2 linked regions of the Tamandua tetradactyla genome follow. The protein of the gene in region 2 binds, or shares a complex with, the protein of the main gene of each other region. Links are inferred from orthologs where the notes say so. Each region holds a gene or a part of one and is shown on either strand. Other genes may lie near its edges.

Region 1 (16,331 bases), on a different chromosome or scaffold from region 2:
GAGATGGATTTGCTTTTAATAAAAGGAGATTTATTTTGTTAAATACGTATAGTTCTTCAAGGAAAGGCAGCCAATTTTCAACTGAGGTTCTTTCTTATGGCCGAAGGCACCAGGTGTTCTCTGCTGGCCTTTTCTCCAGGCCTCTGGGTTCCAACAACTTTCCCAGGGTGATTTCTTTCTGCATCTCCAAAGGCCTGGGCTGAGCTGTGAGTGCTGAGATAAGGTATGCTAAGCTGCCTTGGCTATGCTACATTGAGCGCTCTCATTTAAGCACCAGCCAATTAAATCAAGCATCATTCACTGCAGCAGGCATGCCTCCTAGCTGACTGCAGATGTAATCCGGAACAGATGAGGTTCACGTACCATTGGCTCATGTCCACAGCAATAGAACTAGGCACCTTCACCTAGTCAAGTTGACACCTGAATCTAACTACCACAAATTGTTTTTGGCATTTAATATTTTTATTCAGACATACTGTGTGGTCTATTATGTAACAAAAGAGAGTGCAAACAGCTTTTGCGCTACCTGTGATCCATGGCAATATAAATAATTCAATGTAGCATTTGGGAAAGTTATATTATGAGAAACTTCTTCAAACACAACGTAATGTGTTTATTCTATTTTTTTAATTATATAGATTTGTTCCCTCCTATTTCATTGCCAAAAGTCATTTAATAAAATCTGTGAATATTTATGGATTTTTTATATTGCATTAGTTTCACTAAAGGCAGCTAAAATATTCATAAAATTCTCTCCCAAATTTTGCTTTTAGGAAAATTAATATTTATAAAATATCTTTTACTTCAAAAAGAATTGTTTATTTTTTCTCCTGTCCCATATCTGGTTTTGGTTATTATTGGACATAAAATGATTGCTGTGGTATTTTTAGAAATAACCAAAAGCAACCGAAACCACACAACACTCACATGGATTCATAAAACAATTCCCAATATAGAGCAAGCCATGTAATTGTTTCAAATATTGCAAATGCAATCATTCATTTAAACTCATTAGCCTATGGCTCTTTGAAAATAGATGTTAGATGCAATTGAGTTAATAATCAATCAATTGCCAAAGGAGGAGACGTTTACCGTTTTTCTCAGACTCACCTAAAAAAAGTCAACAGTATATTTTAAATGTAATACAGATTTATTAAGTTTAAAAATTTTAATGACCAACTGGAGTACCTTTACAAACAATTGATCACTGTTAATGAAAAGTAATATTGGTAGCCTATATTAATTTTCTATGATGGTATGAGCATTTAAAAGCAGTTATTAGCTAGTACATATACCTCTCTAACACACCTAGTATTAATTATGTGAAAATCACCACAGGAATATTTACAAAAATATTCCTAAATTCTATATATGAATTATAATTTATTTTTAGTACAGGAAATATCACATCAGTCCTTACTGGAGACAGAAGAGAGAGAAGGAGCCAAGAATGGAATGAAACAAACAGTACAAAAATGTCACAATACGAAGAAAGTTGTAAGGCTCTGTTCCATGCTTTTTGTCCTGGAAACTAGCCAGATTGTAGCTAAGAAAGATTTTTGAAAGTTAATATTGGATGCCAGAGTTTCAAGGTAGCAGTTTCTATTGAATTCTGAGATGGGATTAATCAATTAAAATGCTAGCATGTGAAATACTGATAGGAGAAATGTTATTATTTGCTGAATCTTGTATCAGTATTCATACACTGATTTATTTATACTGAGTTAATGTCATTCTCACAAATGCAAAGAAAGTTTCTTGATGAACTTCAATATATGGTATCTTTTTTTCATTACATATTTTTTCTGTGAATATCTATAATTAATTTTGCTTTGTAACAGCTCTTCTCTATAAGATACTTGCTTTGTAGCTGAGAAGTACAAGTTCAGCATTAAAATATGATACTTACATCTAACTCCAGTCATATGTGAGGATGACAAATAAAGTATGGCTAAGATATAAAATAAAAAACAGTAGATCTTTGCACATAAAGGCAGCATCAGTGGAAGTTATTTTTAAAGAGTGAAAATATACTCCATTCTATTTAATGGCACTCTCTTCACATTGAAGCTTTTAAAGAAAAGGGTTTACGTTATTCTTCACTTCAAGAATATAACTTCAAACATTACTCATAATGTAAATTAGTAAATCATTTCATGTTTTTCAGTTAGTCTTCAAGTATGAGTAAAATATGAAAGCTTCATAAAATCATAATGTCACTAGCTAAAAATGACCAACACATTTGGAACAGTATTTGCTATCATTTACACAGCACTTACTATCTTTCCGACACTACATGATTTAAATGTGCAACTTTTGTGTATTCTTAAGATACTGTTACAACCCAGGTTAGGTAACTTACTCACACAACCAGTACTAAGTGATATATCCAGACTCAGCAGTCTGCTTGAGTTTTACATTTAACCACCACACTATCCCTTATCCCGGGGGAAATAATTCAGCCAGGGTTTGCTATGCTTTCAAAAGCCATTGTTTAAACTACAAGCAATCAAGAATGTCAAATGTGAAAACTTTTTGCTCATTATGAAAGTGAATGTGAGAGTTTCAAACAACTAAAAAGGAAAGTGAGCATAATAAATGTGAGAAAAGATTGCATGGTGCAAATGTTAAAAGCAGAGATGGTGACACTTAAATGTTTATAGTTGTGATTTCACCCTGAGACTACATTCGTTCAAAAGAAACACATAAAAAAGCCATATTTAACAGTGAAGGTCATACCATTTAAATTATATACATATACTGAAAAACTACAGTGGCTTCCCTGATAATTACGTATAAACATAACTGTCTCTTTAACTTGCGTCAAAACATCAAAAATATTTTATTACTAAAATAATTAACTGATCAAAGAGTTTAAATAATTATTGTTTATCGAACAATAAAATTCACATACCTCAAATTTCTATGGAGGAAAGTCCATCTTTATTGGCAGAAAATCTGGCAATTTTTTTTTACATTTCCAAACAAAAAGAAGCATATGGGCTTAACTTTATACCAGCCTGAGGTCAGAGAAGAAGCATGATTCAATAAATGGAGACCTGCTTTCCTCTTGGAAATGTCTTTAAAGAGTAATATGATGGAGGGCAATGCAGATATTCTATACAACTGAAATTCAAAGGCATTATTTGGCCCTTCTTTCACTTGGAAGAATTGGAAAACTTCTTTTGGGGGGCCTTTTATTCTCTATTGTAAGGTCCCCATGGGAAAATAAGTCCAGACTAAGTTGGTCCCCATGTGGTATTAGATGCATTAGCAATCATATTGCAAGGAATATAGAACACAATGGTCTATGTAACTGGCTGCTATGAACTTTGGTGTCAAATTTAAAACAAACAAAAAGCCTTTAGAACTTAGCGCAGACTTCAGAATCACTCAAGAAACTTCCTTTAACTGGGCCTGATGCATTAATGAGGTCATAGAACTGAACTACTCATTTTGAATTAAATACTTTGGTGAGGAAAGTTTATTGTATACTACAAAGCCACAGTATTAAAAAGGATATGATAATAAATGGCATTTTTCATATGACTCATCACTGTGTGGATTAAAAGCAGACAAGTTTAAGTTAAAAAGGAATTCCTTAAATGTAATTAAACAGCTTTTGAAATTATTTTAAATACCTTTAAATAATTATTTTAAAGTATTTAAAATAATTTTAAAACCGTGATAGATGCATCTTGTCTAGCATGTCTTAAAACCCTAGTTACATCTTATTTTAAAAAGACAATAATTTAGAATTATAATTTGTAGTAGAATTATAATGTACGTAGTCTCTATATAATACCCAATGTATGAATGAATATTCAAAAATAAATTATTAATATTTTAAAAATACAACTGTATATAAACCATGTTTAAAGTTTTCAGCTAAGCTAGTTCATTGGCTCTCTAGAAATAGGTCTACTTAAGACAAGAGTCTCTAAATGTTTTTCCAGCAAGTGAGTTCTGCAGTGACAACCAAGACACACAAATACTATATTAAAAGGATTTGAAAAATTTCACCCCACATCCAATGAGAAGTAAAATAAACTCTAGTAGTTGAAGAGGAAAATAATGATTTCAACAAGGGAATAATACACATAAATCACCATATCTTAAAAATATACAAGAAGATTATATTTTTCCCAAGAGCTGAGAGTTTTGTTTTTTTTTTTTTTCTTGGTCAAAATAATGACTCAGAATGAATCAGGTTCCTGTGAGGGCTTCTGAGAACATCATTACAAACATCAATCATCAGTGGCCCAGTGAAGCCCAGAACTAAAAATTAATATAGAATTTTAAAATATTTCCCTAAATATATCACTTAACTATGCAAATATACCATGAGTTCTAAAAGCAATAATTTTCTAAATAAAACAAAATATAGAAGAAGATTTTGCAGCAAGTTATAGCAGGATTAAATGATATCTAATACAGTTCCCTGTTTTATGTAGGTATCACTCTGAGATAATCATGTTGTATGGTCATTTGGCCTCTTTAAGAACAAAAATAATAATGGAGGCTCATTAACCCGCAAGGTGGGCCACAGAGTTTTTGCAAGTAGAAAACTTACCTTTTTAATGAAGGTAAAGTGGATTCACCATGTAATTTCCATATATTGAGCATAGTTTGCCTTGTGAAGTATCACAGAGTAGTACGAATTTCTTGATAGCTTCTTAATATTTAATGACCACTTTCATGACCTCACTTTTCCCAGCTGACTTTGAACTTGTTACATGGAATATATATAGCATACCCAACACTATCTTCTCTTCTGGACACAATCTTTCTTGTGTCTTTCTTGGACTTTTGCCAAAGTCCATCTCAAAATGTAGTGCTCAGATCTGAATACAACATTTAAGGTGTGGTGATCATTACAAAATATAGTAGGACCATCACCTCCCTTACTATGACACTATCATTAGTCCACTTTAGCAATGCATTAACTTTGCATCCACTCTGTACTACAAACACCAAGCTCTTTGCCAACAGAACCAGAGTCAGTAGTTGTTTAGTTGACCTTTTGGACACTAGACAAGAACTTTGCTATCCAGCTATCAGATTCTACTGTGACATCAAATATACAAACATGAATATCTGTATTTGAGCCTCCGGTGTGTAATCTTGAGAAACACAAAGATACTCTACTTCCCCTCCTACCTAATTCATATTCTTCGGTGCCACCCAGTATTAAATAACATTGACCTCCAATGTCTACATTAGCCCACCCCAAATCAGCAAATATGAATATTCAAGAATCTCCAAAGAAAAAATTTTTTTTCGTATGGCGCTTTATATTTAAGAAACTTTATCCGAGACTTTTTCTCACATAAAACCCAAAACTGGTTGTATGAAGAACACCACCCTAAAAGCATTGCCCATAAGACTTACTCAGGTAGTTGGATTAAGTGGTTGTTCAAAATGCAGGCAATGACATTCCATCTTTGAGTCAGAGCAATGTAAAAACGACAACAAACCCTTAGTTTGATATGCATGTGCACGCATACACATACCACACATGAAATGGTGCGTCCTGAGCTAGAAAAAGGTATGCAATCACGCGTGCACATCAAAGATACACTGCTTTATTCTAGTTGATGTTCTTTTCCCAAACTTTTATATCACTTTTTCCTCCTTTGGAACTATAATTTTCTTTCAGGCAAAGACAGTAATAGAGTTCTGCAAGACCCCAGTTTCCCTAATTCCATCACAGCCTTCAAATGGGGCACAGCTAGTCCGGGTGGAGCTAGTGAGAGCCTGAACTGTAGCCAGGAAGCCTTTCCATCGGACTCCTCCCCTGACACGCCCCTCAAATCTAGATCCAGTGGAGAGCCAAACCACAGAGGATTCCTCTCAATAAGGGAACCCCCTGAGTAAAATGCATGAGTTAACATTCATTTTACTCCCTTGCTCCCCAACAATAACACCGGTTCCTAGCGCCGCGCCTCCTTTCGCTATCCTCCTGGTGAGGGCCGGCTGGGGGTGAGAGCCCGGTCAGTCAGTGCGCACGTGACGCGCGGTGCCCACATGACACGACCGTGGGCGGAGGGAGGGGGACAGAGGGATGAAGCGGGGTAAAAAGTTATAGAAGATCCGTCAAAGCGTCCAAAGCCATCTGTCCCTTCTCCTTTCTTGCCAGCCAGTAGCTCAGGGATACTCAGGGTAGAGCACGGACAAAGATGTCTCCAGCCCAGCTCCCAGAATTTGGGGCTCAGTTCTCCGCTCCCTGCCACCACCCCCCACCCGCCCGCTGCTCTCCACCCCTCCGGAGATGCCGCTGCACCCTCAAGTTGTTCCTTCCTTCCTCCCTTCCTTCCTTGGTTTCTTCCTTCCTTCCCCAAAAGCTTTCCATCCACTGCGGGCAATGTCACTGACGCACATTCAATTTGCCCTGGGAGCTCACCGCACCGTGAGAGAGGTCAGACAAGGCCAAACTCCTTCCTGAGGGGAAGGTCTAACTGCACAAAGTTGCACACTATACCGCAACCTTCCCCTCCCCTCGCTTTAGCCCTCCGAGTCGGACCCCTCGGAAAGTTCACTCGCTCCTCTCCCGACCCCATTCCAACATCGCGCAACACACCCCCTTTCACGCGCGCGCCCACCCTTCCATTCCCCTTGGCCTAGAGCTATCCCGCCGCCTAGCAAAGCACTGGCAAGCAGCCACGCTCACCTTGCTTGACACACTTGAGCCGGAGGGGGTCCTTGCAGTGTTTGATCACGGCCAGCACGTCCCTGATGGTGAGTCCCGCCACGGGGGTCTCGTTCACCTCCAGCAGCAGCTCCTCTGACACCAACTTGCTGCCGCTCTCATAGGCCACTTTGCCGGGCTTCACCTCCCCCAGGTAGGGGAACTGTCCATTCTCGGCGCCCCCCTTCAGTTCAAAGCCCAGTTGGCCCTCCGGGTTCCTGCCAATGACACTCTCATGGACTTTGCTAGTCCAGTGGCTTTTCTTTTTCAAGCTTTTGGACATGGCAGTGGGGTGAGTTGCTTCAGCTCCTGGGTTCCTTTGGGGTGGGGAGGACTGGTGGTGAGAGGATGAGGATGAAGGAGAGAGGGGGCCAAGGAGTGAGGAGAGCGGACTTTGCCTTCCTCCCCTCCTCCGTTCCGTGCTTTCCCTCTTCTTTGGATGGAGGTTGGAAGGGGGGAGGATGAGAGGGACTGCTGGGCAGAGGTAGGAGAGAATGGGTGAGGTTGTGCTGTCCCTTGAATGACACTCAGGGCTGTGGCCCCGCAGCAGAGAAGAGCTGTGGCGGCGGCGGCGGCGGTGGCGGCGGCTGTAGCCCGAGTGAGCAGTAGCCGAGCTGGTGAGCGGGTGGGGGTGGGGGTGGGAAGAGGGTAGGGATGCCGGGGGCCACTCCTGCGTGGTACGAGTGGGAGCGCGCGCGCGCGTGCCTGGGTGTGTGTTGTTAGCCGATATCCATGGCAGCTGCAGTGGCAGCGGCTGGGTCCGTGTGTGTGTGGTGTACTAGTTGTACTGTAACTGGCAGGAGGGGAGGAGAGAGGAGAAGAGGAGAGAGCAGGCTGAAGAGGGAGGAGAGAGGAGGGGCGCGCGTGCGCCGGTTGGGGGGAGCTGTGGAGGGCTTCGTCGCTGTCTCCATTCCCTCCCTCCGCAGCTTGACCCGGTAGTGAAGGCGGAGAGCGAGGGAGAGAGGCGGGCTGGGTCCGCCTGGCAGCCTACTGGAGGAGGCGGGAGCGTGAAAGGAGGGGAGCCGAGGCCCGGCGTGGGGAGGCTGGGCAGGAAGGGCTGAGAGCCCAGTGCGGACTTTTCTCCGACTCCAAGCGGCGGGGCAGTGCGCTCGGCCGCTGCGTGGTGAGAACGCCCTGGCTTCCTCCGACCTGAGGTCCGATGGAGCAGAAATAACGTGGCCTGGGCCGCGCCCGAGTGCCTGGTGCTGCATCTCCGGGCGCCGGGATCTTCTGGCGCGGGATCCTGCCGTGAGAAAGAGCTGGCATACAGAGACCTGGCGTGGTTTTGCGGGAGAAGGCCACCTGGGTGTTGGTGCCTGGATAGCGGTGTAGAATGAAAGAGGCTTCCTCACTTCACTTTTACTGGAAACTCGTTGCAGAGTTCTCGGAATTCACCCTAGCGGGAGGGGAAAGTTAGAAAACTGTAGGCTGGTTACCCTGGGCAGGGAGAGCTTGAGGCAGCGTCACGTTCCCGCGGGCAGGCCCTACCTAGGCTCCTTGGGCCAGGGTTTGAATTTAGCGGAGGGGCGGGATTGTCCGTTGAAAGCCAATTTTAAGAGAACGAGGAGAAGGGGATTCTCTTTTTCTTGGTAGGAGAAGTGGAAAGGAAGGGGGCTGCTATGGGGGACGGCACTTGGAGTGAGCGGCTTCCGCAGAGAAATGGACAATTTAACTCTGGAGCTGTGGTGCTGGGACAAGAGGGACATGCTCTCAATCAGGAAAACCCCAGACTCTTGGAAGAAAACTTAAGATAACCAGGCCTAACAACCTCCTTCTAAGAGAAAGAAAAGAAAGGCTTAGTGGGTGAAAATAGCAGAATCAGGGATGGAACTTTTAGCTTTCTGTCCCCAACTAGGCACGTCCTAGACCAAGTTTGCAGCAAGGAGGGGAGGTGAGGACAGAGGAGTAACGATGCAGGCAGGCTTCGGATTTTCACTCAAAAGCTAATTTTGCTGAGATGTTAGGAGTTTTTAACTTTTCTGTAACTGGTAAATGAATTTAATTCGCTTAACTTTCGAATGATACGTCTCAGACTCCCCTTACATCTTCCAAAATCATGGCACACCCACTCATCTCTCTGAAGTGAAGCATGGAAAGCATTGAACAGTCAGGATTCTTGATGTCTGAGATGAGGGTAGTGTGGGAGGCAAGCATTACAGGGAAAATGTGCAGTCGACCCAAACAGAAAAATCAGACTCCAAATTTGAATCTAGGCTCTGCTACTTAACATGATCTTGGGAAAGAGTGATCTTTCTGACCCTTCTGAGCCTGGATTTCCTTACTTGATAAATAGGGTAAAATATTCTGATCTAATTGGCATATTTTGAGGATCAAATCAGGTAAGGCATCCAAAGTGCTTGTCTGGCATAGGTGGGTAGGCACTAAAAATGCTAATTTCCTTCCTCTTTCCACGCGAAGTGTATCTCACTACTTCTTGGGAAGTAGATGTCAAATTTAGTCAGAAATAGAAGCTCTTAAGGAAAGATGATTTGTTTAACTATGTGGGTTTTTTTGTTTTGTTTTATTTTTTTCCTTGAGAAAACAGTTCCCAAAAGAGTTGGCAGGGACTGGTAGGGGTTATTCAGTGAGCCGGGGGCAGTGGCAGGATATGAAACCAGAGTTGCAGGCAGTGAATGCTTAATAGTCCATAAGACTTTGTGGCAAAGGCCAGCTCTCACTTAAATAAGCTGGGTTTTAGCATTAGAGGTATGATCCTAAATAGAAATTGATAAGAAAACTAAAAATGTATTTTTAATACCAATAACAATATTTACCATGTATGGGTAATAGTAACATTTATTAAGTACTAACTACATGCCAGATATAGTTCTATGGACTTTACACATATTAATTTCTCCTGACATCTTAGTAAATCTATTATTGTCCTCGTTTACAGATGAGGAAACTGAGTATTAGATTAATAAGGCTGAAAATCTAGTTAGTGTTGGAGCTGGTATTCAGATCCCGGTGGTTTGGCTCCAGACCTGGTCTCAATCACTATGTATACTCCCTCCCATTGTGCTTACCATATGCCATACCAACTCTCACTAAATGGATCCCCAAAGTTTGGGTCTGCTCTTTATTTTAGGAGCAAGGAGGTAAAAAGGAAAAATGGCTGGGTTTTGGCCTAAGAGCAAGTTCTCCTTCCAGGACACAGGAATCATTGAGGTGTTTGTGTGAGTTAACTTGTTGCTTCTCAGCTCCAAATCCACTCCTCTTTACCCTGAGCTGTTATAATTAGAGATGGAACCTGTAACTTTTTTTTTTTTTTGTCAACTGGCACAGTGTTGGGCCATATCAGTAGAGGGTAGATGGGCACTGCAAAAAAGAGGACACTTATCTCAGTTCCAGTGCTTTTCTCCTTGTTCTTGTTCTTGTTCTTGTGGATGGCTATTAGTGAATGGCTTCTGGATTGTGATGAGTGAGAGACCCAGTGCAGTACACCTTACAGTGAGTTTTGCCAGCCCCCTAGTGGGTAGCTTCCCAATGAGTCTCACTGGCATCCCAATGGGAAGCTTCCCAGAGAATTTCACTGGTATCCTAGAGTGCTGGTTTGAAAGGATTTATGTACCCTAGGAAAGCCGTCAATCTTGTGGGAGCAACTGTTTCTTCTAATCCCTATTCAGTACAATAGGTTGGAAACTTGATTAGGTTATCTCCATAGAAGTGTGACTCAATCAATTGTGGATGTTAAACTTGTTAAGTTGGAGACATGTCTCCACCCATTCTATGTTGGTCTTGATTAGTTTACTGGAATCCTATAAAAGAGGAGATATTTTGGAGAGAGTTCCTTTTGAGAACAAGGAGAGAGCTGCAGAACTACAACAGAAAGATGAGAGAACCAGAATCACCAGCCAGCAACCTTCAGAGATGAAAAAAGAAAATGCCTCCCAGGGAGCTTCATGAAGCAAGAGTCCTGGAGCGAGAGCAGATGCCGCCACATTCGCCATGTGCCCCTTCAGCTGAAAGGAAACACTGAATGTCATCGACTTTCTTGAACCAAGGTATCTTTACCTGGATGCCTTAGATTGGACATTCCTATAGACTTGTTTTAATTTGGACAATTTCATAACCTTAGAAGTGTAAACTAGCAGTTTATTAAATTCCATTTCTGGTATATGCATTCTCGCAGCTAGCAAACTAGAACACCTAGCAAGTGATTTTCTGCTTATCAGACCCAATCTGTGACACTGCAGAGAATTTCTTAGCCATCCAGCGGACCACCACATTACCCCCAGTGAGGTCTGATTCTCAGGCCTGATTGCAAGGTAGAGATGGGGAGTTGGAGAAGGGGGGGGTGGGATTCCTCTAAGTTATTACCTCCTTGGGTACACTCTCACAGCCCCACATGTAGAGGCTGCTTCGTATATCTGCTATTCCTGTAATCTCTCATGTTCTCTACCTTTCTTAGTAATTAATTCTCTTACTGGTTAATAATTCTTTATATTTAATTTTCCCATCATATTATAGTGTGGTTTCTGTTCCTGATTAGTGCTTGACTGATATAAGGTGTAGATCATGTAGAACTCTAAAGGAAGCAATATTTGGGAGAACAATATTTTGGGAGTCAGAGGTTGGGTTCCTGCCTTAGCTGTACAACCTTGAACAAGTCACTTAACCTCCCAGAACGTGCTCCCTTGTCTGTACAAGGTAGGCAAAGGTATATATGAAAAAGCTGCTTGAGATCACATAAAATAATATATACCAATGTACTTTAAAGCTATAAAATGCTATCAAAATTAGATTGCTTCAGGTGAGGGCAGGGTGGGGGGAGGACAGCGTGTCTTGCCAGATTTATTATCATCAAATAAATATATTATTTGTTGGTAGGTTGGTTGGTTGATTTTGTCTGACTTTTTAGAGATGCAATTAGGCATCTCAACTTTGTTCAAGTTTCCAGTTCCATGAAAAATATGAGAATGAAGATATGACCATTTTGAAATGCTATTCTGGCATCCCACATATTTGCTTTATTTCTCATTTGTCTTGTTTATTCTTCCTGGGTTTGATACTTGTTGCATTAATTTGAATGAAAGAATCATTTGAGCACTGATCATTCCATATGAAGACCATGGCACTAGATATTGCATGTTATTACAGATCAAACTTAGGCTAGGAATCATAAAAGCTAAGAACAACAGCAAAAAGCAAAGCAAGAATGCTTTCAATACTTAGAAGAGTTAGTTCTATGGGGTAGATGCTTGTTCCTCCCAGGTCCCCTAAGATCCCTTTGATTTGGTCTGTGTGCCTTCCTTCGCCTCTCTGCGTCTTTTGTTCTTTTGATTCTCAAGGCCTCTGCCCAGGAGACTCTTTTTGGAAGACTGCCCAAAGGCTGCTGGACCCACTTTGCCTACAGGCACAGAGAGGCAAAAAGAGCCACCTAGGAATTTACTTCCCTTCCTTGAGCCCTTAACCAAGGACTTTTTTTTTTTTGCCAATGTCTTTTATATAGCACGAAAGCCCAGCTCTCTTGTCTCTGGTAGCAAGAAACTCTGAGGTGTAATTTGTACCCCAGTGCTCCCCACAGATAACACTGGTGCTGGAATTTTGCGTGAAAGAAATCCCTTCCCTATCTTGCTTTCTCTAGTGCCTTATGGGAGTTTCCTGAAAGCATTTTCTTAATAAATCACTTATATACCATCTTTGCCTCAGCATATGCTTCTTTGGGCCCTCATCTAAGGCATTGCTATCTCTTTTTGGAAATCAGGAAACAATAAGGCATGGAGTTGTTACTTGAACCAGGTCTGTGTGAATCTGAAACACTTACTCCTGATACTATGTTAACATTTAATGCCCCTAATAATGAAACTTATAAAAGTAAATTTCTGAACAGAAGTGAACACATCATTCAGCACTTTATAATTTAGCAGACGTAGAGAGACTATCCATGTGCTAAGAAAATGTTTGGGGAGGAAGATTATGGACCCAGAAGCAGTAAAACCAAAGTGCTTGGTGAAGGGTGCCTAACCGTAGGTGTGAAGACAGGTCCTACACTTTAGCAGAGAATGTTCAATGACGTTTTCTGTCAAGGGCTCTTTTTTTGCCAAGGCTGAACTTGCATTTGTATTAATTTCCTATTACTTCTGTAACAAATTACCACAAACCCAGTGACTTTAAACATCACAGATTTATTACCTTATAGTTCTGGAGGTCAGAAGCGTGAAATGGGTCTCATCGGGCTAAACTCAAGGTGTTGCTGCCAGCAATTTTGTTCCTTCAGAAGACTGGAAGGAGAACCCTATTCTTTGCCTTTTCCAGCTGCCTGCGTTCCTTTGCTTGTGGCCCCTCCATCTTCAAAGCCACAATAGCTATAAGGTGCTTCTCCCACCCCCTCATTCTGTTGCTAGCTTTTTTTTTTCTCCCCTCTTCCACTTTAAAGGACCTGTTTTAAGGTATGCAAATTAGTAACCTTAATTCCATCTGCAACCTTAACTCCTCTTTACCTTGTAATGTAACATAGTCACAGGGTCCAGCTATTAGGACATGAATATCTTTAAAGAACCATTATTCTTCCTTCCACAGTTTTATAGGATACCACTTTTCTGTACCTTCACTGCTTCAGGTTTAATTCAGGTCCTCAACATCAGGAATCCATATTATTGTGCTTTTTCTTCTCCCTGTCCTTTAAATGAAAAACCTCTGTAATAATTACCAGAGAGACATTATAAGTCCTCTTCTTTCTTCTTTGCTTAAAATCTGTCGCTGCTGTCCATTAAATACACAGTGAAACCCAAACTCCTCATTTCACTTTTTATCTTTCTCTGCCCCCTTCCCAAGCATCCAGGCTTATTTTTCTTTATACCCCTTGGAATTGGAGCCCAGGGTAACCTAACCAATGTGGTCTCTCCAAGATAAATAAAAATGAAAGAAGGCCCCATTAAAGCATCTGTTCTAGGTCCCTTGTAAAATAATTAAAGCCAGTGATTTCCAAGTTGTTTTAAAAGTATTTAGATTAGGGTAAGCAGCTGTTCCTGGTCTCCCCTACCCCTTTCAACCTTTTGTTTCAACCATCCTGAACTGCTCACAGTTTCCTTTGCTCACTAAGCCATTTTTTTTTTTTTCGGTTCTTTGCTTGTCTAAAATACTGTCCTCTCCCTCTGTTTGTCTTATTTATACCAGCTCGTTCTCTGAGTACCTCTAGGGCCACCTTCCCTCAGAAGCCTTTTCTGACTCCTTCCTCCTACCAAGATAATATCAACCTTTCCTTAATGTCTTCGTGTACCCTTTATAGAAATGTGACATCTAAGATATTTCATTGTTCTCAAGTCTGTCTTCCACATCAAGAATGCTTGGATTTTTGAAGGCTGGATTCCTTGTCTTATTCACTTTTGTATCCTTAACACTTGAACGATGTAAATGCTCAATAAAAATTTGTTTATTAACAGATTTTCCCAAAATGTAGTGATGACGCCTACAATTTCATTGTATGAATACCACCTTAATATGAATTTTCCTCTCTAGTATTAAATGATCATCTATTTACTCCTATACTATTGGCTTAAGAGAATAGAATGCAGAGGAACACATATTGATGAAGAAAAGAAAGAATATATTTAGCCATAAGGCAGCATTTAGAAGAGAAGCCAGGTCCTTCCAGAAATTGGGACAGCATGGTCTGGACAGGTCTGAGAGATGGTGAGGGTAGAATAGGACATTCTTGACCCTCTCCATAGTTTATCCATAGCCATTCCTAATATTAAACTTCCTTTCATGTCCATTAAAATCTTCACATGAAAATAATAACCTGTGCTTATAAAGTGGATTTTGCTTTCCAATAGCATAATGCTGAGCTTCTCAGACTTTTCTATCAAAATAACCCTAATAAAGATAATCACCCACTTCCAGCCAAGAGTGCTCTTATGGGAAATATTAAGTTTCTATCTAAAGTATTCATCTTGAATGTCTACTCTGTGGTGGGCTTGTATTTGCATTAATATAAAATATGACTTTATTCATGTTCTTCCAGTAGCATTTGCTGTGTTTATCCGGTGGTTTCCAGCATTCAGGGCTCAGCCCAGTAGCTCCGGGAGTGTGTACAACTTAGGTTCAGTAACTGGAAATACAAGTCCAAAACTTGAAGAGAGATGGGGCAACAGAGATTGATGTTGGGACACTTTGAATCTTTCACTCATTGGTTATATCCAGCAGAGAGCAAAACATGAGGTGAGAACACAGTTTACAACATTTTTACTGGGCTGAGAGAAGGGTAGGAACCAGTGAACAAGACCGTATTCCAATGTGAGAACTAATGTAGAGAAATGTATGCCCCTTAAAGGGTGTGAGAGGAATGTTTAGAGATTTGAAGTCCTCTAAACACATGCACAGGAACTGCATTCTCCATCCTGTATCTTATCAAATTATATTATGCTGCTAATGCTCCTTACCTAAAAACCTCAAATATTTTGGTTATTGTAACAGTAGGATTATATCAATTAATTTTGCATGAAAGGAGCCTAAACTGTTTCATTTTAGTATGGAATTGATGTTCATTGATTGTGCTTCTGCTTCTCACAGAAACATCCAATCATAATAGTCTTAGTATTGGAAGGAAATATCTGATCTAACTTTCCTGAAGCTGGAGAATTTACTCTCAAACAGCACTGGCAATTTGTCATTAAAAGATCTGGGAAGGGCGGGCCGCGGTGGCTCAGCGGGCAGAGTGCTTGCCTGCCATGCCGGAGGACCTCGGTTCGATTCCCGGCCCCAGCCCATGTAAAAAACAAACAAACAAACAAAATACAATAAAACAAGAAAATGTTTAAAAGATGTTTCCCTTTCTTCCTTCCTTCCTTCCTTCTCTCTGTCTTTCCTTCCCTTCCTCCCTAAAAAAAAAGTAAAAAAAAAAAAAAAGATCTGGGAAGGTGGGCCATGGTGGCTTAGCAGGCAAGAATGCTTGCCTGCCAGGCCAGAGGACCCGGGTTCGATTCCCGGTGCCTGCCCATGTGAAAAATAATAATAAAATAAAATAAAAAAATAAAAGATCTGGGAACACGGAGAAGAAAGAATAGAACAGGCAAAATCTGACTACTTAAATCTTTGATAGTATTACATAATATTGACTGCTAGAAAGTTCTGAACAGTGTGACTTTGGCCCTTATAAATCACTTTTTGTGAAATTCATGGCCCATGCAATCTTTACAGGGTAGAAAAAGAACACTGCCATATGAAGTAGTTCAGTCATTGCTCCATCTTAGCTATAGAGTTCAACAACTGGAGAAGTTTAACCAGCTCAGGAAAAGGAACTATGAAGATATGTTTTGCTTTGTTTTTATTCTGTGATTTTAAAGTTGTTGCAATATTTTATGTAAATGTTAAAGGGTATCTTAGTAAAAAGAAAATCTTACTGCTTTTATTTAATTCAACGTATACACCACATATAACAGGATGATGTTTTATTTAGATCTGGAAATGTATTCCTTCTTATGCAATCTATGTAGTCATATTTCTTGAATGTCAATATCTGAAATAATCTTGCTTTTTATTGTTTTACTTCCTATTTCTTCAATGCCTGTCTGCCAGTCTTTCATCGTCAGTTCACATCCTACTAAACTCTAAAGATATTCTCCTACCCTTTATATGTTTAAGCCTTACTAGATTTTTAGAATACTTCAAAACTTCACATACTTTGATTTCATACTATCAA
Region 2 (15,708 bases):
TCAGTCCTTGATCGGGCATTTCACTGCTGGAAACACTAAGGACCCTGGCAGAGCTCAGAGCTACAATTGGAACAGCACCACCTTGTGGTACCTCGTGGGAGAACTTTTGGAGAGACCCCAGCCAAGAAGGCTGGTGGGAGGGGGGTGGGGGAGGGTTCTGGGGAGGGCTCACACGAGTACTACGGCGTGGTTCTCTCGTTTGTTATTTCCTTCCACCAGCATTTATTGAGAATCTGCTGCATGCCAAAGTTGTAGGGCATATAGAGTTAAATGAAAGGCTTGGTGCAGAAGGGGAATTCAATTCACAACATAACAAGATTGAAGGTCATAATCAAACAGCAGGAAAAAAATGCTATGTGTATTGAAGAGGCAACTATGATACTCCCAGCTCAAAACCTCTGTTTCTCACCTCTCCTTCAATTCTCTCACTAAAGCTCAAACATTATACACTTGCTTTCCAAAGATATTTCATGATTTGGCTCCCTTCAGGTTCTCATCTGTCTGCATTTGTATACTCCCCAAAGCCTCTGTGCCCTGTGAAAGCCAACTGCTCTCCCACTTCTCTAAATTTCCACCTCATATTATCCCTTCTGGCCCTGCTGGATCATTTTCTGGAACGCTCTCTCCCTTATCTGCTTCTATCGAGCACTGTCTAATACGTCCCTCGTCCATGAAAGCTGTTTTGATTTTCTTTGGCAAAGTGGCCTTACCTTTTCGAGCTCTTGAAGCACCCTCTTGGTAGAGCTTTCATTAACAGCGTGTACCGCCTGGCCCATTGGTGCTTATCTGTGTATGTTATTCATTTCCCTTCTTGGCTTCTAGTTCCCTGGGGACATGGGCTCTGCACTATGCTCATCTTGGCATCCCTTGCAGCACTGTGCTAGACACAACATATGCCCTCATTAAGTGACGAATAGGTGGATGGATGGATAGATGAACAGATAGCTGAATGGATGGATGAATGAAGAGGTGGATGGATGGATGAAGTATCTTCTCTAAAAGAATTCACAAAAGGCTATGTAGTACTGGAGGCTTCAAGGGAAGGACCTCACCCCAAGCCAGGACAGGCAGAAGAGGGGACAGCATCCTGGCTGAGCCTTCATTCACTAACATAGGCAATCCCAGCAACCTGTCTACCTGAGATCTGGGTATGTTCCAATTATCCAGAGGCCTGATCTGGGAGCTAATCCTTACTTCATGCCCCCACCCCAGCCCCTCTGGAATACCTCCATCAACATGTATTATGCTGTGCTGCATGCCCTGCTATGATTCTGTGGGTTTTTTCTTCAACCTCCTCACCCATCATATACATACCATAGATTGTGAGCTCTCTGGAGGTAGGACGCATGCCCATGTCTCTACTGTGTACCTAGGGCCTGACATACTTATTTAATGGTTGGGTGAGCAAATAGCAGGATAAATGCTGACTCTTTTCCCTATAGGGACACTTTGTACACTCTTCATGTTCAACCATCCCTCCTCTTCACATACATTCATACACACTCATACTGCCCACCCTGAACCTTTTTGAAGTCCCAAAGTCTGTCTATGGTTTGTTTCCTGATTTCCTTTACCCAAGTGTGTGGCTGATCTAGGAAAGTCCGGGTGCTCTCCCAAGAGTCTGACAAGGGGAGAAAGCTCCCAGCTCCTCTAAAGCATGGTAACTGGGCCCCATATGGGGCAGAAAGGGGCTTCCCTAGAAAGAACCTGGCTGTTGGGAGCATAGTAGGGTCCCGGGCTAAACTGAAGCTGCTGCCCCAAACTGACCATGCCTTCCTGGATCTGCTGACCCTACTCCTGACCCAAGATGGGGGCTGGCTGTGGCCTCTGTCTTTAGGCGGGCCCGCTGGCAGACACAGCCAGATTTAGAAATCATTTTCACAGCAGGGAGCCTCCAGTTTTCCACCCACAGAGCCCTGCAGGGACAGTCTGAGATATCGCTGACGAGGGCCTGGCCCCCAGACCTGCAACCAGTCACTCCTCTCCTTCTTCTCTCTTTCTCATTTTCCCCAGAACTTCGGTAGTTGGCACTGATTTCATCCTTAAGAAAAGCTGGAGGCCATCCTGGGGCAGGGAGCATGTGGTACTGACACCTAACCACCCAAGTACTCCCAGACTGCCATTTACCCATTCAAGGGGCTATTTGGGCCCACCACAGGGCTCCCTTCTCCTCTCAATTTGTCCTCTGCTGCTTTTTCCTCCTCTTCCTCTTCTCCCATTGCTCTTCTCCATCCTCATGCCACCACACCTCCCACACTAGCAAAATAACCCTGCAGAGAAATAATGAAAATAGTTAATCTTATATATAATTTACTATGTGCCAGGCATTGTTCCAAGGGCTTTGCATATTGGCTGATTTAATCCTCTCAACAAGCCTATGAGAAAAGGACTACCAGTAACCCCGTTTTTATAACTGAGGACACTGAGGGCACAGAGAAGTTTAATAACTTGCCCAAGGTCACACAGCTAGTATGACATAGAGCCAAGATTGAAATCCAGGCTTATAAGACCCCAGAGACCATGCTCTAACACAATACAACCCCAGTTTTCTCATGATAGTAGCAGTGTGGGTGAGCTCTTAGAAACTGGCCTCTGGTGTGTTCATCCTCAAAGGGGCTTTAAGCAGCATGGTGAGAGCCCACCATCACAAGGCCAGCCCCGCCACTGTCCCATGCGGCCCACCTCTTCTACCAGCCCGAGTCCTGGAGCCCCTGGGTTATAGAAAAATCCAGGCAGACGCTCCACCATTGCTCAGGCTTTCCTCAATCTTCCTTCAGATCTGAAGTCCATCCCCTTTCCAAGCCCAAAGGTCCAAAGTACAAACTCCTCAGGAGAACCAGGCTCACTCCAATCTGGCCTCAATTTTCACTTCTGCCTTATCTTCTACAACTTTCCTGAATGTACTCTAAGTCCAGTCCAACCAGACCATTTGATAATTCCCTAAACATACCCTGTTTCCCTACATCCATGCATGTATTTTTGCTATTTCTTCCACCTGGAATGCCCTTTCCAGGAATGCCACCTAGAATGGCCTGTCAGATGCCACCTCCTCCATGGAACCTCCCCTGATCTCATAAAATACATGCAGTCCCCCTTGTCTGATCCCCTTAGAGCACTTAACACTGCTCAATACTGTCGTTTTTGTGTGTATTTTCATGTTCACCCCTTTCTTAGATTACAAACTCCTCCAAGGACATTATCAAGCAGGCCTTCCTCATCTCAGCCCTGTGAGACCAGTCCAGTGCCTGGTTCCTAGTGTGTCTCCAGAAAATGTTAAGTAGATAGAATTGAGTTTGTAGGTGGAAGGGAGATGGGCCTCAGGAACCTTTGATCTCTTTCCAAGGTGACCCCCACTTCCCTTACCTCCTCCAGCTAGAACTAACTAGAAATCTCTAAGATGAAGTTCCAGGCAGGTTCTAGGATGGGATCTTCCTGGATGATTCTGACCAGCGCTCTCGCCTCTGGTGCCGAAGCCCAAAGTGGAACTCCGTCCCCCAACTTTCCCCCAACTCCCCTTCCCCCATTCGCACCTAACCCCTCCCCCACCCCTACCAAAGCCAGCCAGTCCAGGCTTCAGTCGGATCCAGCGGCCTCCCAGGACGCCCTGCCACCCGCCGCCTCCTGCCCAGAGTCTCTCCCGGTACTGGTGGGGAAGATAATTGAAGACTAAAACCGTAAGTGGTTTGGGACCGGGGCTAGGGACCTGAACGTCGAGCCGGGGTTGGCGGGACCGCTGGGGGTAGGGGTAGAGGCGGGGCCAGGGGGCCCGGCCAGGACTTGGCGACTGAGTCTGGGCTAAGCCCCCGCGCCAGCCGAGCCGGCGGCTAAATTTACCCAGGCTGACTCAGCCCTTGCCCGGAATGGGGGGCGGGGGGCGGGGTGCGCCAAGCAGCGAAAAGAGACGGTGGGTGTGGTGGGGGCGAGGAACGAAGAGTTCGAGCTGGGGGAGACAGAGATGTGCCGGGGGTTCCATCAAAGAAAGGAGTCCCTTCCCCCGTTGGCCGCTCCACCAGAGAGCGGGAGGGAGAGGAGGAGCGCTGCGGAAGGGGCACTCTGGGGGGGAAGGTCGGTGAAAGGCAGAAGATGCCAAGGCTGGAGAAAAGGGAAACAGATTTATTGAGCGCCTACTGTGTGCCAGGCACCGGGCTAGGCGCTTTACATAGATTATCTCATTAAATCCTCACAACAACCCTGCGAGGTAGGTGTTTATAAACCCCCATTTGACAGATGAGGAAACTGAGGCTCAGGGAGGTGAAGTGATTTGGCCAAGTCCACATGGCTGGTAAACGGCAGATTCAGAGGTGTAAGGGATCGGAGAGAAAAGGGTTTCAGTGCCTCGGTCCCAAGCCGGGAGGCGTGATGAATACAAAGAGAGGGCTCGGCGCGCTCCAGAGGTTTGAAAGGCCGGAGGCCTGCTCCCGGTCCTACACGGCTGGAGGCGGCAAAGCTCCCGACAGGCGCGCGGTATTAGGAATCAATTGATTAACTGTCAGTGCCCAGGTAGAGGGGAATTAAGCAACCCGGGAAATCCGCGACCTGCGCGCGCCCCGTAGTGGCTACAGAGAGCATCACACCCCACACCTACAGGCTTCTTGAGGCCAGCCTCCCTCTTCTTTGCCTCACCGGTTTCTGGAAAAGTCAGAGATACATGAAATTCTCAGAGTTCTTTCAGGTGGGCAATACCACCTGGGAAATCGTGGTGACTAAAGAACATTGGAAAGGAGGAAAGGGAGAAGACCTAGAGAGGTCCCAAGCTGATTCCTCAATGGGTGCCTTCCCTCTCCAGCTCAGACCACTATAAGCCAGGGACAGTGACAGGGCCACAGCCATTCCCTCCCATAACCCTCACCTAAACCTGGGGGACTTGTATAGGAGCCCCGTGCCCACCTACTCAGCAATTATACAAACTCTGGGCAGTCTCCTGAATTGAGGATGAGTGTAGGTGATAAGGAGGCTGCCTAGAGACTCTCCGACTCTGTTCACTTATTTCCAATTCTCTTCCTTGGCTTATGGAGGGGAGTATGAGTTAGAGGCCTCCCCAAAGATTCCAAAATGTCAGAGATGGAAGGATGGACCTTAAAACTCCCTCATTTGACATACCAGGAGGCCTGGGAGCCAGTGACTTTCCTTCTCCAGGCTTCCAGTCACCTAGCAAATTGATAGCAGAGTTGAGATTGAAACCCAAGACTTGTGACACCAAGGTGAGCCCTCTTTCTGATTTGCTGACTGCTTCTGAGCCCCTTTCTCTTCTGTCAAGAGTCTTTTTGTCACCCAGGCAACCTCAGTCCCAAGCCGGGCCATTACTTTCTCCCTTCTGCCCAGAGGCCCTGCCCTGATGCTGCGGTCCTGTGACTGGACACCCCTCCCCTCCTGCCTAATCTCGGCTAGGTTTCTTAGTTCCACACCTAATAAATCAGCTCTTGCTGATGACCCATTACCTCCTGGCATTTGTGCCCCAAATATAGCGGGCAAGGTAGTCTACTGCTCACCCTCACTTTTCCTGAAAAAAAAAAAAATCATAAATGAGCAGATGGTCCCTGTCTTTTCATGTGGGGGCTGTTTCGAGTATGGGAATGGGTATGGATAGGGATACAAGGAAAAGAGAAGCTAAAAAGTCTGTGGGGAAGAAAGGATCAGTGGGCCCAAGTATGGGTTGGGGAAAGGGAAACAACTATAAGGAGGGGCCTATTACTGCCGCTCCCTCTTGCCCTGTGGGGTCCCCTTAGTGTCCCCCGCCTCGAAGAGGGCCTCCTCGGTTCGGCTGCTGACATCTAGAATCTCCCGGATACTGTCGCTCAGCTCCGCCGTCTTCCGGCTCTCCCGGGGCGGGGTGTAGCCCCCAACCGCGCACCGGGTCCGCTCACTCCACCAGGAGGCGCCCGAGGCTTCTGTGTCGCTTCCCTCAGAGGAGCCGCTATGAACGCTGAGCTCCGCAGCTTCGTCCGAGTCCGAATCTGGGGCGGTGTGGCGGCGGATGCGGGACACGGCTTCCCGAAGGGCCCCGGCGTAGGGCGCGGGGGTCCGCGCCCAGCCCCGGCCGGCGCGCCGCGGGACAGTAGCCACTTCCTCCGAGCCCTCCGTGCTGCCCATATCTCCTGAAGCCTCTGGGCCTAAGGTGGGGTGTTCTGGGTTAACTGGCTGCGTGGGGGCGCCCTTCAGGGTCACTTCGCTGACCGGGAGCCCTAAGATGCGGGAAGCGCGCTCCTCCAGGGAGGAGTCCCCCAACTCCCGGCTCTCAGCTTCGCACCCGCGCTCTGCGCCAGGCTGGTGCGAAACGCGATTGCTCAACAGCAGCTTTTGGCAAGGGGAGGGAAAGGCCGCGGCCCCTTCGCCCTCCTCCTTGCTGGGCTTCCGACTGCTGGTAGCATCCCACCCAACGCGGGGCACTCCAGCCTGTAAAAGCTGCACGTGCTGGTTTCGAGGGCTCGGAACGTACTGGGACCGTATCACCACGCACGTGGCGTCAATGACAAAGACGCCTTCTCCACGAGTGGGGCCGCGGGAACTGCGGGGAAGGGTATTGGCACGTTGGGTTCCCTTCCAACCCGCCAGGGCCTCGGGTCCTGCCCGCTCTTTGTGACCTAAGGACTCTCTCCAGCCGGTGCCTCCTGGAGCCCAGGGTCTGGGGAGAGTCTGGCTATACTGGGGCGGTTGTTTTTTAGGGGACGGAAGCCAGCATTTGGGGAGCCAGCTCTGTTCTCCATCTTTTTTCCCTTCCCTGGGGCCCTTGAGGTGGGGCCTAGACCTGGGAGCTGGACACGGGGGACTAGGAGTAGCAGTTGCAGCCCCCACGGTAGCTGTCTCTGTGCCCCGGCTCCCCATAGCCTTCGCTTGGGAATGGCCCTCGCTACCACTGTTCAGGCCAGCATCAGTGAGCCCCAGGCTTTTCTCCGCGGCCCCCCTGCCGGGCTCCGGCTTTGCTCTGGCCGCTCCACAACCTGGAGATCCCCCCAAGAGGCCCCGCCCCTGTCGGAGACCCCAGGCCCCGAGGACGTCCCGGTAGATCCGAGGATCCAGCCTCTTTTTTGTGCGCCCTCCCTCTGTCCTGGCCGGGGTTGGAGCTGGGGCTGATGAGACGGGCACCTGGGAGGGCTCGGGGCCTCGCTTAGTCCCCAGGGTCCTATGGGGGCCATCGTAAGAAGGTGGAGCCACGTAGGGTGGCGGCCGGTCCCAGCGGCGTCGCTGAGCTGTCCCGGCAGAGCCTCTCAGTAGCAGGTGAGCCTCGTAGCTGGGGGGCCCGAGACGCCGACCTCCCCAGGACCCCGCCCAGGCCACCCCTGGGTCGCTCTGTGACTGCGCAGTTGGACGGGATGGTCGCCCCAACGGCCCGAGACGCTCTGGCCGCAAGTGAGCTGGAAGCCCTTCAGACAGGGCCACCCGAGGGGCGTTCCGGGGCTCCAGGCGGGGCCGACCAGGAGAGCTCCTTCGGACCCCACCAGCTTTGCGCCTTTTTCGCTCGGTCTCCTTGGCCTCCCGCTCCTGCGACGCCGCTTTCCTTTTCTCTTGTTCCCGAGCTCGGGCCTCGGCCGGGGGCCCCGCCCGCCAGTTGGTCGCCTCCTGTAGCACCCTGGAGGCCCAGGGCCGGCGGGGCGGCGGCTCAGGGGATCCCGGGCGCCGCCCACACCTGGGACAATGAGCAGGAACCCAGGTGAGCAGTTTGTGGGGGAAGGGAGCCGAGATCCGGGGAGCTGGGAGCACTGGAGACCACTTGGGGTAGCCGTGTGGAGGGGTGTCTGTGAGTGTGTGTGCACGTGCGTACATGTTAGGGCTGAAGTCGAAGCTGGACTCCTCACCATCTCTCCATGCACATTTTAACAGAGTCTGCCCCATCTCACCTGACCTTTCTCACGTCCACTCCTGTCCCCCCAAAACAATACAGGATGAGTCGGGGTGCAACCCTCGGGACGGGGTGGGGGAGAGAGGCATGGGAAAGATTAAAGGGGCCAGCAGCGCTTGCTGGTGCGTGCATGCCCGGAGGTCCAAACCCTACTCCCCACCCAGCCACTCTCTTCCCCTTATCCCTCCTTCACTCACGTGCGGCTCTGGAACCCGCGGGCCCAGTGGATGGCCTGGGAGTCCATGGGCTGTCGAGAAAGGGCGCGGCGACTATAATGACAGGAAATAGTCTTCACCTCAATCACCAGCAGCTTGGACTTCTGCACCCAGAGGCAGCTGCCAGACTCCTCATCATGGGGCTCCTGGGGCCTGTCCGGCCCCTCAGAGAATAGCGGACCATCCAGCATCCTGCCCCACCCCACCCCGGTCCCCCACCCTCCCACCCGCCCCGAGAGCCCCCTCCCAACCCAAGGATCTGGTGCCCACTGCAGAGCGGCAGACCTAAGGACTGGGGACTATATATACCCAGGCACACGTGTGTGCCTGTCTGTGTGTGTGCGCGCGCATGTGACACGGCGCAGACGACTCCGTGATGCTACCTCCCCCATGTGCACGGCCGCCCCCTGGGGCCCAGGATTGGACGCCCCTTCCCACTGCTCCTGTCCCTAAGCCTGATGGGATCCGAATGAGTAGGCGGGGGACTTCAGATTCTTGCCAAGCTGACAATGTCCCTCCTCCCCCACCCCTATTTCAACAACCTTCCTGCCTTTAATTTTAACCCTTCACTCTCCTGCTTGTTAGGCTGGCTGACCACCTGGGTTCCCTCCTCTTCCAGCCTCGGACATCAGTTTCCCTGGCAGGGAGTGGTGGTGGGAATGGAACTCAAGGTCTCTGCCTGCCACCCTCTGCTGGTTTCCATGGGTTTGGGGTACAGGAGGGGCTGGCCCATGACTGGGGGGCTATTTTTAGCGGCAGTGGCATTCGGGTGCAGAGATGAGATGAGTAACCAGCTTGCATGCGGTGGAAGGAGGCGGCAGTGGCTTGCACGCAGTTTTTATGTGACTCTGGGGCAGAGCTGCTCCCCCAACCTCAAAAAGGGTGATCCCCATACCTTTAACTCCTCACCTTCTCAGTATTGCAGCTCAGGTCTGCTGGACAGCAGAACACAGGGGTCTGTCTTGGAGACCAAGGCTGCCCCACTACTTCCATTCTAGATATTTGTCCTTAAGCAACCATGGAGCCCTACCCTCAAAAGCAGGCTCTCTCCCCCCAATCCAGAAGCCTGGATATTGGGGTCACATTGTTCTGTACCCACGCAGCTCTACCTAGCCTATGAAGGACAGAATAGAGTGCATATACCCTTGTGCCCTTTCAGAGGGGAATGGAGGAGGAATGGTGTGATCCCTTGGTAAAACCAATTCCCTAGCAACTGAAATGATAAAAGTGTCCCTTATATCCCAGTTTAGAGCTTCCCCTAACTACCACCGCCACAATGCTTAGCTCATTCAGCCCCTACCTGAAGTGGTGCTCAAGATGCTCATCTCTTAGGCTGATTCTGTCCTGGGGGGTTGTTACTTATATCTGCATGATCCCTCCCCCCAACCCTATACCAGGTGTCCCTTGATTCACCATGGTAATGTTAGTGGCAGCACAGCCCACGCCAACCCTTCCATGCAGAGACTTAGCAACCATGCCTGGCAACCATGGCAGCAGCTCCAGTGGAGGGGAGGGTGGGAGAGTGTGTATGGCAATGGCTTCTGAGGAAGAAGGGATAATTGTCCTCTTCTGAGAGGAGTAAGAATAGAAGGCTATAAGGCTCCCCAATGTTGTCTCTTGTATTTCTCTCTGCTCCATCTTCAGACTCTCAAACTGGTTAGTTGGGTTTCGGGGAAATGGAAGAAGAGATCCCAATTTGTTCTCCACTAAAGAATCTGCAGCCCTTTAGTAAGACCCTTTCTTTTAAGGGGATGGGGCCAGGAGGGTTGTCGTGGAGCAGAGACTGACTTACTGGGAACCAGAGCAACAGAACCTAGGCTTCTTGCCCCCTAATATGGGTCTTCAGAGAGAACTAGAACAGCCAGTCCCATTTCCTCTCCCCCAACCTCCTGCCCCTTGAATCCATACACCTACCTACCAGCTGCCCTGATGACTCTTTGCTTGAAGGTGCTTCCTTCCAACCCAGGACCCACCAGAGTCCTAAGGCTTTTTAAAGTCCTTGCCTCCTGCCAAGATAAACCCTCCTTTCATGATGGAATGTGACATGAGGAGATATCTGTCCTTTCCACCATGTACCCACCCACACACACATAAACATACCCAATTCTAATTACTTGGAAGCCTTACTCCTCCAAGTTTGGGAATTGCTGTGAAACCTGTGAAGAGGTGAATGCAGAAGTAGACTTTTCCATAGCCATGATATGGCCTTGAAAGCTGAGCTCTGAGTCCCTTGATGCTTTTCCGTGTTCCGCTAAGAAGATTAATTTTGGGGAACCAGTATGGTAAAGGTGGGGGTTCGTCAAAAGGCTTAGGCACAGTGGGGATAGGGGCAAAGAATTACCCTGCAAGGGATGGTACCTGGAATTTGGCTCACGTGTAACAGGTAGCAGTCCTTCTGGTGTTTAGTGCTGCCTACCATCTTGGTCCACATGGTTTTAGCACAGGGAAAAGGGTTTGATGAGATAACCATAGTTCTCCAGTTCATTCTCACATTGGAAGAAAGCCAAGGGATTTGTATGTTCAAAGATAGTGCCAGCTCAGCACAATCCAAAAACAGTTCAGTTTTTCCTGGTTGGGAAAAGTTAATGATGGTGGCAGGTCTCTCTGTCTAAAGAAGAGTCAGTCTATGCTCTGGGCATTGCCTTGGGTTCCAGCTATAATACAAGAGGGGAAGTGAGATAATAAGGGAGGCAGAGAACAGTTATGAAAGGATTTGAGAGGCAGTAAGTCTAATGTAGTAGTAAAGAGCAATAACTCTGGAACCAGACTGGTTCAAATCCTAGCTCTACTTTTTACTGGAGGTGTGACCTTGGATAAGTTACTTAACCTCTCAATGCCTCACTTTTTATTAATCTGTAAAACTGGAATAGTAAATAGTATCTACTATTGTTCTGAGAACTAAATGAAGTAATATTTGCAAAACACTGAGAATGGTAGCCGGTGCACAGTATGTTTTTTTTTGTTTTTTTTTTTTTAACATGGGCAGGCACCGGGAATCAAACCCGGATCCTCTGGCATCGCAGGCAAGCATTCTTGCCTGCTGGGCAACCGTGGCCCGCCCAGTATGTTTTATATTTGTGTATGTGCTATTATTATTGTTGTTTATTTTTGATGAGGTAAAGAAGCCACATGAAGTAGGAAGGTTACGGCAGTAGTGTCTATCAATTGTAAAAATCAAACACTGCAATACCATGAAGAGATTCCTGTCACTTTAATTAGATTCACTGTGGAAAGCAAAAACCTCAGCTAACCACTCTGCCCTCCACCTCCACCTATCTCCATCTGCCTTCACATGAAAACAGCAGAGGAACCCAAAGGCCCTCCTCCTCACGATCCTCCCCACTTCCATTATGGGAAGAAATGTCACTCCCATACAGCATGAAACAGGATGAATAAAAATAGCTTTATGCAGAGTTTTGTTGTGCTTTTATCTTAGGGTGGAGAAAGGGGCAGGGAAAGAGGCAAGGGTTGTCGAGATCTGGGGATCTCTTGGAGATCAGAATTTTCCTGATGGGCACAGAGTTCACTGTTTACCTAGAAAGGGAATTATGCCTGAGAGGACAAGGGCTGGGATAGGGTAGGCGGAAAGTTTTTCTCAAGTATATGTGTGAGGGTTAGGGCAATTAAAACTCCATTCTCCTTCCTCCCATACTCCTCCCCAAGCTCCCAAGTAGAAGGGTATAGGACTCCTGAGCAGGGAAAACAGTCACAATTCTCCCAAGGCTTTATCTGTGATTCCAACAGAGCACATCCCCTGGTGCTGCATGATCCCTTTCACCAGCTTAGGGCTGCTTCTCTCCACCTGTGAGCACCAGAGCCTGCAGGATGTCAGACAATGATACAATTCCCTTGACCACATCATTCTCATCTACCACCACAAGTCGATGAACCTGGCATAAACCAACAAGGGAGAAAGGGTGTTTAGTGCCAGCCTCAGTTTAGGTGGGCTTCCTCATCCCCTACCTTACTTGCCAAGCCCCACTCACAAGGTTTAAGTCCCTTGCTGCCTGTTTCCCTCCCCACCCCAGCTCCTTCAGGGTCTCTGAACTCCCTACCTCTGCTTCCACCAGCCTGCTGATGATAGTTTCCAGAGTCTCATGAAGGTAGCATTTGAGGACACCCTCAAAGTAGTGTGATCTGTGTTGCAGGGCTTTGGTTACAGACACATCTAAGTTGTTATAGGTCTTTTCTGCTGCTAGATTCTGGGAAGACAGAGGATGGAGCTTGCAGGGAAAAGCAAAGGAACCATCCCCAAACCCTGAGCCCACCCAACTTTGCCATGCCCAAGCCTCACCCAGATCATTGATTCTTTTTCAAATAGGATTTGAAAACTTGGAAGCTTCTAAGACCCTCAGGTCCCAGAAAAGACTGCCCTCTTCTCCCTCTCCATATCCAATACCCCACCTTCCCATTTTCCCTACCCACTCCACAATCACTCACGATAACATCAAACTTGGAGTAGATGTCCACCACACGCCCTAGGGGGACAAAGGCAGTTCAGCAAGGAGTATCTGGCATCCAAGGCTCCTCTTGCCCACAGTACCACACTCCTGACTAAGGTGAGGCAGAAACAGATGTTCCCAGAGCCACCCTGACTTTCCCAGAACCCTCCCTCTCCTTCTGCCCAATTTCTCACCTTTCTCATCCACCACTGGCAGGGCAGAGACTCTGTGCTGCACAAAGATGCCCAGAGCCACGTAGACGGGGGTGGTAGTACGGATCATAGCGATGTTGGCATAGGTGCCAATCTGAAGCTTTTCCAGAGACTTAGACATGAACTCTGGCTTGGGAAATTCAGTGATCTGAGAAAATAACCATAAGCTTTATTTAAAAGGCCCCCAAACTACCCTCAGATACCACTCCAACTTAGTATATCCAGAAATAAGAACTGGGCCAAGGAGCACTTACAAACAATTTGAGGAACTTGAGGATGCGCTTGTGGGTGAGGATGTACAAGGTGTTGCCTGATTCTGGGTCAATAACTGGCAGTCTGTGGATCTTGTTTCGAATCAATGAAGATACAGCATCAAATAAGCTGTGGGAAGGTGGGGGGATAATGATCAGTTCTTCCATAGTGTTGGGGGCTGAGGATGGTGAGATAATTTCTCCACAGGGTTTGCTTGTAAACACCCTGTGGAAAGCTGGTGACTGGGGAGAGGCAGGGTTCAAACCAGATCTAAAGAGTATGTATGTGTTTGGAAGGACTGTCTTTTTTCTCTTCTGCCTGTTTCCTAGGATCTTTGGGGGTATAGGGCTTTAACTGTGCTGATAGCAAGGCTCTTTTCCTTCTAGATAAATGGGTAACTGGAACTCACCTGGCATTAGGAGAAATGCAGACTAGCGGTTTAAAGGAGTCCTGTAGGTACACCTCTGAGGGGAAAGGGATGGTTCACACACAAAATACCATCATGAAAAACTGTTTCTCAAGAGACCCTCAATCCCTTTATGATTCTACAATCACCAATCCTCTACATACCTCTCCAAGTTTCTATCTTGTGTTCTTCTAGCTCATAGATCTGTACCTGGAAACAGAAGCAACAGAATTTGAAACCTGATCTCCCTGCTTCATTAACTTTCTGTGGCTTGCCTGAAGGAAAGGAAATGAGAATGAGGGACTTTGGGCAGGGCAAGTGGTTTTGGTCCTGGGGTTAGGGTTCCTTACCAAAGCCGATTTATAGTAGCGGTGTAGGATATTGATGAAATCAGTGATGGTCAGCATGCCTAAAGGCCAAGATAAGAGCCCTCAGCACAGCCCAAAGTTTCTCTCCCCACCCAGCACAAGATGCCAATATACTGTGTCCCAGAAACTTTTGCTTACCTACAAAACTTTGCTTCTTACTATCCCACAAAGGGGCAGCTCGTACACCATTAGTCACCAAAGCAAAGAAAGCTTTCTTTACCTGTTGACAAAAGAGTAACACTCACAAAGGGAAATACACAGGAGACAGGAATTTAAAAGAATAGTGTGGTTGGGTGTGTCGGGGGAAAATATGAGACTAACCCCACAGAAGGACAAGGATAAGATAGGACTTAGGTATTGAACCAGAGGCTCCAAGGAAGGGGAAGGGAAAAGAGGATTTCACCCACCTGTAAAGAAGTATCAAATACAACCAATTTGGAGCTTGTAGGAATCAGGTCATAGCAGCGATGGGACTTCATGAAGGAAGTATACACGCTATTGTTGGATTCTGGGGGGTCTGCACAGGGTGGGACAGTTAGTAATTTCTTCCATTAAATAACTCTCAATCCAAAAGAGGTAGAAAATAAAACACTCTTGTAGTTTCTCAAATATTGAGAGTATGCTTTTCTATAAGGCCTCTTATTCTGTTTTGTTCCTACTGGATAAACTCCTTAGAAACAATTCCTCTCAACTTCAGTCTCCAGGTAGGACTATATCCATTGGCTATATGAATATAGACAAAAGATGGCTGGCTGAAACAGAATTCCTATATCTCTCATTGGCCTGTTCTAGTTTTTCTCTCATCTTTAACTTCAGATTTTCCTTTCATATGTTTAGCACATTTTCACTTGTTTCCTCTTCTCAGTGATGATGAAAAACTGAGTAAGCGTCTTAAATTTTTTCCATGATCTGTCAATGGAAAAGTCATGATCCAAGCTGGGCCATTTCTAATCAACACTAACTTGGAGCCTAGCACTCAAACATCCTGACCCCAAACACCCTGAGGGTTCATTCTTGGATCATCCTGTGAATCAAAATTCATTCCATCTGCTCTAGACAAATGGGAAATTCTGACTGATGTTTACCTCTCCATTCCTCTGGTTCTAATTGCTTGCTGTCAACTGGAGAAATGACAACCCAAAATAATACCTGAATGTGCTATGTGCTATGCTATGTGTATTACATCATTTAATCCTTACAGCAATCTGCAAGGTAAATATTATCCTCATTTTTTGGATGAGAAAACGGAGTTAGAGCAGTTAAACAAACTGCTCAAGGTCATACCATTAGTTAAGTAACAGGATAAGGCACAAACATAGATCTTCTTGACTCTAAAGCACATGCTCTTAAATCCTATGCCAGTTGTTGTCTGCTTTTTCATTTTTACCAAACTTATTCAGGCACACAGTTTAAAGAGTCAAATAGTTCTACAAATTTTGTTAAGAAAAATTCAAAATTTGTTCATGACATCCATCTCCCTATACTATTCTTTCCCAGAGATGAACACATTCACCCGTTTAGCTGATTATTTTTGTACTTATATCTATGTCCACAAATAATCTATTTGTATTGCTACTTTTTGATTTTTTCATTCTGGGGCATTATCTATTATCTTCCTACCAAAGAAGATGACAATCTTTAGATCTCTTTCCTACCAGGACTGCATCACAAACATGCACCTCCCAACCCCTCACTCTTCCAGAAGTTATATTATAATATTGGTTACATCAGTAACCAAAATTATTTTTTTGACTCTAAACATTCAGAGCTAAACCAAACAGTAAACTTCAGGCTTTTTTCTTTCTTTCACAACTTTTTTTGTTTGCTTAATTTTCTATGTATAGTACTTATGACTAATCTAACCCCCAAACTCTTCACCAACTGTCTAAATCTCCTCTCAAGAAGTTCAGAAGTCTAAGAAATTCTATCAATTTAAACTACCCGAAGAAGTCTCTCCCGGAGCCTTCTGACCTGCT

The links.
Region 1: the proteins of DDN (region 2) and MAGI2 are in contact, whole or in part, in a crystal structure (PDB 6KKG), measured with the Mus musculus proteins. The link is inferred for Tamandua tetradactyla from reciprocal best matches to the Homo sapiens genes DDN and MAGI2. Residues at the interface, in NP_001013763.1 of Mus musculus: Asp222, Arg223, Pro224, Pro225, Pro226, Tyr227, Val228, Ala229, Pro230, Pro231, Ser232, Tyr233, His237, Arg238, Thr239, Leu240, Gly241; in NP_001164217.1 of Mus musculus: Glu308, Met309, Ala310, Tyr311, Thr312, Glu313, Gly315, Tyr318, Ile320, Asp321, His322, Lys325, Thr326, Thr327, Ser328, Trp329, Asp358, Tyr361, Tyr364, Val366, Asp367, His368, Arg371, Arg372, Thr373, Gln374, Phe375.

Annotation. Positions count from the first base shown.
Region 1 is NC_135327.1:138,415,318-138,431,648, reverse strand, and holds the start of MAGI2 (membrane-associated guanylate kinase, WW and PDZ domain-containing protein 2), read right to left. Parts: upstream 7,300-16,331; 5' UTR 6,972-7,299; coding exon 6,671-6,971; intron 1-6,670. UniProt on the Homo sapiens protein: Seems to act as a scaffold molecule at synaptic junctions by assembling neurotransmitter receptors and cell adhesion proteins. Plays a role in nerve growth factor (NGF)-induced recruitment of RAPGEF2 to late endosomes and neurite outgrowth.
Region 2 is NC_135333.1:109,878,149-109,893,856, forward strand, and holds DDN (dendrin), read right to left. Parts: upstream 8,244-15,708; coding exon 8,035-8,243; intron 7,625-8,034; coding exon 5,689-7,624; downstream 1-5,688. Other genes in the region: PRKAG1 (5'-AMP-activated protein kinase subunit gamma-1), read right to left, coding at 11,835-11,942, 12,108-12,254, 12,493-12,530, 12,689-12,854, 12,961-13,087, 13,368-13,422, 13,529-13,574, 13,715-13,773 and 2 more. UniProt on the Homo sapiens protein: Promotes apoptosis of kidney glomerular podocytes. Podocytes are highly specialized cells essential to the ultrafiltration of blood, resulting in the extraction of urine and the retention of protein.